2 linked regions of the Tribolium castaneum genome follow. The protein of the gene in region 1 purifies or fractionates together with the protein of each later gene. This does not show direct contact. Links are inferred from orthologs where the notes say so. Each region holds a gene or a part of one and is shown on either strand. Other genes may lie near its edges.

Region 1 (3,728 bases):
GAGTTTAAAGTGGCCACTAACCAAATTATTCCAAAATGTACCTTAAATGTGTTTGAATCCTTGTGACGAATCGGTTTATTCTTCATTGTGGTTGGATTAAATTAAACTAGTCTTGATATTCAACAAAATAAAAACATGCTGCGGTCAAACATAACCTATCAATGATAAACGTAACCTCAATCCTCAAACTTGAAGAACCCAAAGTTGCCAACTCAATAATTTATCGTCAGGTTTATAACTTGCACAATAATACCAATTTTTGTAACCTATTTTGTGAATAAAGCGAGGTGTTTCATTTATTCTTTTCATGTAATCTTTGTGGCAAAGTAAATAAATAAAGACAAATTCTTTTGCACAAGTTTAATTTGGCAATATGGCTGTCGGTAATGTAGCAAACATTAAAAAGGTAATTTAAATATTTTCTTGTTATTTTATTTAAAGTATTTAAATCTTTTTTTGTGCTCTTTTAAAATACGAAAAACTAGTGCCTAAAACATTCCTGGGTAAATAAAAATACAATTTACGTTTAGTAAGTTCTTTATTATTTTCATTACATAAAATCAAAAATTCTTAAATATTTTTTATTGTATTTCTCCACACGCTGCTATTACTACTTTCTCCGTGGGCGTCCCACTCTTGGTCCCACACCTTTCCATCCTTCTCACAACGTCCATCCCACTTATAACATGCCCAAAAACCACGTGTTTTCCATCCAACCAATCCGTTTTTGCCGTGCAAATAAAAAATTGCGACCCATTGGTATTTGGTCCCGAATTGGCCATTGATAAAGTCCCTGGACCCACGTGTTTCAATTCAAAATTTTCATCAACAAATTTCCGACCATAAATTGATTTTCCTCCTGTACCATTGTGGTTGGTAAAATCGCCACCTTGACACATCTAACCGTCATTAAGGAATTTAGCAAGTAATGTTGGCAACTTAATTTCACAGCCGTAGCCCTCTTTAATAAACAGGTCCCAGCGAGCCGAAAAGGCTCCAAAATTTTTTTATTATTAGACATATTGATTTTTCCTTTTTTAGCTTACAGCTGCGTTTCTGCTGCATATTTTGAAAATATTGAGGTAGTCAGGGTTAGGGCTAGGAATTTTTACCGATATATCGATAAAAAGATCGATATATCAATATATATAGACATATCGATAATTATCTAAAACTGTCGATACACCACATGCCGATAACTATCGATAATTTATTATCAATATTCCGACAAATTTCGTTATTATCGTTTAACTTTAGTTAAACGTAAAAAATTAGATCTTCTCAAAAAAAATTATCGTACAAGATTTAATTTTTTGTACAATTGTTAAATAGAGAACTGAAAAATGTAATCAAAACCAAAAACAGTTGAGGATTGCCTACCCAAAAAAGACGGCGATTTAAAATCGACGGGTTAGAACATTTTTTGCAAAAATATTAGCATTAGTACAAAACTTTATGATTTCTGTATAATTTAAACATAAATTTAACAAAAAAAACAAGTATTTCACCATTTCAACTTTTTTAAATTTAACAGTAACATTTATTAGGTACTATCATTTATCTATAAATACCCATGTTTTTATCGCTCTATCGTAAATATCGATACTTCAATATAATATATCGATATTTCGCCAATCTTCGATATGTATCGGTGTATCGATATATCGGTATGTATCGATTATTGATATTTAAATCTTAATATCGCCCACCCCTAGTCCTGGTAACGACAATGCTCATAAATAATGTGTACTGCTGCTGAAATTAATTTTTAAAGTAAAATAGATTTTTAGTTATTAACTTTAGGCATTTGAAACTTTATGTTTTTAGACAATTTAATGACCTTTAAGAAGCAAAAACAAAAAATAGGGTGTTCTATTTAACTTTTCCAGGTTATCCAACTTTTAACAAACTTCTTAATTTTTCTACGTTCCTAATTGCAATGCGTTAAACAGTTGATACAGATTTAAGTTTGAAAAACTGAAAAAAACAAATTATTTCAAAAACTAAACAGAATCGATTACGTCCAAAACTGTAATAAAATTTAAAGTGTTCTATTTGAAAAAAACATAACTAGTTTTTTTTTTTAATATTGGGAAATCTTAAAATATACCGCAATATTTTTAACATCTGTAGCAGAAACACAGTTATAATCCAGAAAAAAAAGAAAAAGTGAATATTTCTTATGATAAACAAGTTATGGGGCTTGTTGACAATATAATTTTTCTTTGGGTAAAAAGGATACAAAGTCTGGAATTATTCTATGGAAAGTGGAGCCCTGAAAACCGTAACCCTTTTCATGGGTGCATAAACACCTAAAATTTTCTGCAGTTCTGGGGACCACATCAGCCCTCAACAGCATTGTTATTCTACCGACTTCAGTCTTGCCAATCTTAATGTCGAAGTAAACTTGAGGGTTTTTGACTTTTTTGCTGTCACTTTTGTCAGCATCCTGGGAAAAAATTGCTCAAAAAAATCAAAAAATCAAGAGAAATTTTTACGTTATCTGTTGCCTCTTTAGTTCCATCATCAGGATCATTAATAGTCTTGCCGATTGTCTCGCCTGCGTGCTGCTGAAGCCAGGTGTCTTCAGACCAAACAGGCCGTGTCGAACCCTCTTTAATTCGCTGTGGTTTGGCTAAATTGACTCTGATGGTTCTACCAAAAAGCTCAGAATCATTCTAAAACTGATATTTAAAAATTGTCCATTATTTAACTTTGGTGTTACCATATTGTCGATTGCTGCAGCCGCGTCTTCCGCACTCTCAAACTCGATGAAAGCGAACCCCCTGTGCTTTTCCGTCTCATAGTCCAGAGGGATCTGAATGTCGACAATGTCACCAAAGGGGATAAAAGCCGCGTTCAGGACTTTATCGTCGACTTCTTCGGCGAGCCCCCCGACGTAAATAGTGCGTTTGGAACCGGTGCTCATTTTTCAAAAAACATTGACACAACCTCACTTTTGTGCGAAACCTTTGACACCCTTAACGCGCCTGCGCAACTATCAAGTGTTTAACCATCATTGGATTTTTACGTAAAAACGTAAATTAATGGCATTTTAATTACTACTTGAGCACTGCCGTCCGTTTCAATTCAAGTAATTAATGTGAAAAATCGATATAAAAGTGTGCGACTTGGGGAATTTCTTTTCCCCCGATTTTGTCAAGTGTCAGATGAGTTTGACAGGGGCAACGAACGATAACTTCTCCCGTTTGTCTCAGCCATGTTGGCCTGTCTGAGGCGAAAATTCGAGTTTTGCGCGAGATCTTGAGTAAAAAAACATTATGCCCAAGTGCGATGTTAAAACTAGATACATACCAGCGACTTTTGCTTGGACTTTACTGTTGGTAGCCACAACGTTGTTCTTCTACTACCCGTGAGTTATTCCTGTCAGTGTTTATGTTACCAAATTTAGGCAAACGTTACGCTTGTTAGAGCCCGATACTACTTAGAGGATTATCCATGGGTGCCCGCGTACCAAGGAGTGATCACGTTCTTCGTCCTCGCCAATTTCACCCTCGCTACGTTCATGGACCCGGGGGTCATACCAAAAGGTGCGTAACAACCCCCTTGTAGCGCTAATTGAGCTGGTTTTTAGCCCCTCCTGATGAAGACCGCGAGGACGATTTCAGGGCCCCCTTGTACAAGAACGTGGAGATCAACGGGATTACGGTGCGGATGAAATGGTGCGTCACGTGCAAGTTCTACAGACCACCGAGATGTTCACATTG
Region 2 (3,756 bases), on another chromosome or scaffold:
AAATACTGTTTAGACAAGGTACAAATTATTAGATTAAACTTGTGCCCAATTTAATGTTTCAGAGAGTCGACGATAAACTTGTGAGTCAATTTGCTCGCGTTTGTGCCCCTGATCATCACACACATTGGACTGAAACGAAATTTTTAATGCGAAATATTGTATCGCCCATAACGCACTTTATTGGAATTGTGTGCCTTCTGATAATAGCCATCATCTACTTCATAATGCCAACTTTACGTGATCTTGTCGGTAACATTGTTACCACAATCAGCATGTGCCTTATTGTCAGCCAAGCCGCTGATTTAATCCGACTCTTGACGGTTTTTGATAGCCATATAAGCCTCATTATTAGCGATACCATTTGTTATTTCAGTCTACTGGGGGCGTTTTTCTGGCTAAATAGTTTGGGTTATTACATTTGGAAAACCTTCAAGTAATATTGATACGAACGGACGTTTCATAAATATGCAAATGTTGACGTCATTGCAGGTCAAGGAACGTTTTTCTGAGAATTACAGATGGGAAAAAATACTGTTATTATTCGATGTATTCATGGTCTTGCACGCTCTTGTTGGGCGTTTTGGCCGTTTTTGCCCATTTTACCATGGACTATCCCGAGGACAAACCGCAGCTTGAGCAAAAGGAAGAAATCGGTAAACATACAATAAAAAAATAAACTTTTTTTTCTACTGGATAATACTTCATGATCGTATAATTTTTAAAGATGCAAGATTATTTTAATTTTTAATTTGTTTGTGTGCGATTTTTTTCACTCTGTTTATAGCACTAAAATTTTGAAAACGTTTATTTCAGGATCCCTGGGGATAATCCTATTTTTCGTCCCCGTTGCCGCCACAATAATAATGGACATATTTTTCTTCGCCACAACATTAAAAATCATAAGCCGAATGCACACATACGGTCGCATCCACCATAAATTAACCCACAGGTAGACAGCAAAAACAATCTGCCAACTAAACTAAACCACTTTTTGCAGCTTTCGCATGTTTTTCTTATTATTGCTAATAATGACAATAACATGGCTGTTTTTCCTGATGTCATTTTTCAAATTCACTGGCCTAGTTAACTGTTACATAATATTGAATGCATTCCAAGGGCCTTTAATTTTATACGTTTGTATTTTCAACCAGAAACACGTCGGATATCTGGTACGCAAAACGTGTTGTTACGAAAATTGCTTTTGCAAGTGTTGTCGCACTGAACCTGAACCAGAATGGGGCGACGAAATGACAGCTATGAATACGGGAATCTATTAGGCAGCTGAACGACATTCCGTCCGTTTTATCCAATTTTGACATTATTTATGTATTTAATTTACATTATTGTGTACTTAATATTTATAATAAAAATGATTAAACGACTCACCTGGCTAAATAAGTGTCCCTCTGGCCGTTTAATGAGAGCTGAGAGTTGGCAACGCACCACCAAGTGACTGTCATCCAAGACAGTATTGAAGAATCTTCTAGTAGGAAGAAGAGCCTCCAAGTCAGTCACTAGTTCAAGAAATCGCTCACAGTAGTGGATTTTGTCAAGTGGACAAATCCCATCTTCTGTGATCGTATCCAGAATATTCAAAAATTTTAAAATGAGTTTGTGCAAAAAAGTCCGCTCCCAATTCAGTCTTTCTAACTCTTCTGGCTTATCTTTTTTCTGAATGGCTTTCCAATACTTTCGCCACTTTGGGTTTTTCTTAAACTCGTATTCACGACGCCCGGGTTGTAAAGACACCCACATTGAGAGCGAAACTAACCGCTTGACTTGATCCCTACAAAGCCCCTCTTCCATGCTATTGAAGCAATGATTGAGAAACACAAGCAGTGAAGTCTGCTCTCTTAAATTGATTAATAATTCGTCTTCTAACAATCCTTTAAGTACTTGTTGGAAAAAATCAGGAAAATGGGTGGGATTTTTCCGAAACGCTTGCCACACTTGCACCCGCTCCCTAAATTTCTCATTCACCATGTTCACAACGGACAACATGTGGGCATACGAAGCCCCCGGTTTGTAGTTGGGCCACAGATAATTCTCCAAGTATTGGCTGAACTCCAACACCATTATTCTACGAATCGAAAAACTGGAAAAAAATTGTCATAACCACACTTTAGCGGTGGATTGGTTTTTTACTTGCTACCGCGGATGTCTTGCAAGTATATGTCGTCCACGATTTGGGAGTCGAAGGGTTGCTGGTTTTGGGCGGAATGCGGGGCCCAGTATTTTTCGGCAAACTTTGGAAAATTGAAAGTAAACAAGGTTTCAGGTTAGGATGGGGTAACTCACTTCAGTGATTCGGTCGGCGTTAATTTGCTCCACGGTGGGAGCCACCACTTTCGTGGTGTTGTCGGCCATTCGGCTGGGGGCACACACCACGCAAAAATGGTTAATTAGTTAAAAACTTTAATTAAACAACGTTTGAAGAACGCTACCTCTACAAATTTCTGGGGATTTTTTACTTAATGTTTGTTGTGTTGGTGCAAGCGTGGCGCGGTTTGAATAAAAATTGAGAATCCAAAAAAAACGGGGAAGAAAATTTGACTGAGACAAAACTCGAATTCTTTGTTGCTGATCAAGAAATACTTGTTCGAAGTAAAGACCATATTAAGATTCGAGCTTTACAAAAATAAAATGCATTGTTTAGAAAGACCAGTTAATACAAATATTAGTTATAATCTAGCAAAACATTGTCAAAATAAAGTCATTTTTGACTTTCACGGGACGTTTTTCGTTCTCTTCAAGAAAAAAAACTTCTAAAATTTGCAAGTTTTTAACTATAAACCTGATGAATTAAATCGCAGAGAAATTCAATAATAAAATTAAGAAAATCAAAGTAAAACTTAAAGTATTTTTTTTAATAAATTTAAAAAACTCGAGAAATTTAGAGAAAATCATAAAAAAATAATTTAGTCATTTCTGGGCGTTTATTATTACTTCTTACCTCATTTTAAAACAAGCAATTATTTGCAAAAGAATTCTAGAAAATAATTACATTAGAAAAAAATAAAAAATTAAACTAAGCTCAATTTTAGTGGCCTTATTGCAACAGATTGTTTAAGAGTGTTTTTGCATTATTTTTATTGAAATAACATAAATCAAAAAACTTCGTATAATTATTCTGTATTTTAACATTTTTAACTAATTATTATGTATTTATTTCTAGGGATTACAAAAATTAGTATTTTACAGTAAATTCTGAATTCTGTGCGCAGTTTCTAAAATCAAGTATATATCTTGCTTAAATGTTAGGAAAAAATTGAGATAAAATATTATATTTTTATTAAATATGATGGTCATTCGAAGTTTAATTCTGTGTCTTCAGGGTTTTGTTAATTGTTAATTAATGGTAGTATTATGGCGTTGCCATAAATGTAAAAAAATAAAACACGTTCTTTGATATACTACTTTGTTTTATTTGGTTTTGATTTTGATAGTCAAATTCAAAAGCAAAAAAAGTCAATAAATTACAACTCGAATAATTTTGGTTTCCGAAATCGAAAATCCATCTCCTTGTCCCATCTCCTTCCACTCTTGCACCTCATCCTCTGATTGATGATTCAGTGTTCGAATTACCCAATCTTCAAGTGCATCAAGTGTTCCATTATCCGCGGCGCGCGTCTGCCTCTGAAACATTTCCTTCAGTCCGTTCGCGTCCGCTGCAGGAAGAAGCTCGCTTGCGTTTCCTCCTCGTCCGCGATGTGATTTCCGGAATGTCGGAATCAAACCCCAAACTCGACTCCGGCA

What was found. The genes of interacting proteins can lie anywhere in the genome.
Region 2: the proteins of cyp33 (region 1) and RNA helicase aquarius purify together in Homo sapiens (affinity purification with mass spectrometry; 5 studies listed by BioGRID and IntAct, counting the BioPlex papers as one, with this or other methods). This does not show direct contact. The link is inferred for Tribolium castaneum from reciprocal best matches to the Homo sapiens genes PPIE and AQR.

What each region holds. Positions count from the first base shown.
Region 1 is NC_087394.1:24,073,791-24,077,518, forward strand, and holds cyp33 (peptidyl-prolyl cis-trans isomerase E), read right to left. Parts: upstream 2,930-3,728; coding exon 2,726-2,929; intron 2,679-2,725; coding exon 2,499-2,678; intron 2,450-2,498; coding exon 2,243-2,449; intron 900-2,242; coding exon 582-899; 3' UTR 520-581; downstream 1-519. Other genes in the region: small subunit processome component 20 homolog, read right to left, coding at 42-86; palmitoyltransferase ZDHHC8, read left to right, coding at 3,282-3,373, 3,433-3,551, 3,596-3,728. UniProt on the Homo sapiens protein: Involved in pre-mRNA splicing as component of the spliceosome. Combines RNA-binding and PPIase activities.
Region 2 is NC_087396.1:23,735,726-23,739,481, reverse strand, and holds the start of RNA helicase aquarius, read right to left. Parts: upstream 2,497-3,756; 5' UTR 2,368-2,496; coding exon 2,299-2,367; intron 2,247-2,298; coding exon 2,146-2,246; intron 2,096-2,145; coding exon 1,387-2,095; intron 1,386-1,386; exon of another isoform or gene 1,278-1,385; coding exon of another isoform or gene 998-1,277; intron 950-997; coding exon of another isoform or gene 814-949; intron 654-813; coding exon of another isoform or gene 490-653; intron 434-489; coding exon of another isoform or gene 63-433; intron 19-62; coding exon of another isoform or gene 1-18. Other genes in the region: mthl5 (probable G-protein coupled receptor Mth-like 5), read left to right, coding at 1-18, 63-433, 490-653, 814-949, 998-1,277; uncharacterized protein LOC659930, read left to right, coding at 3,723-3,756.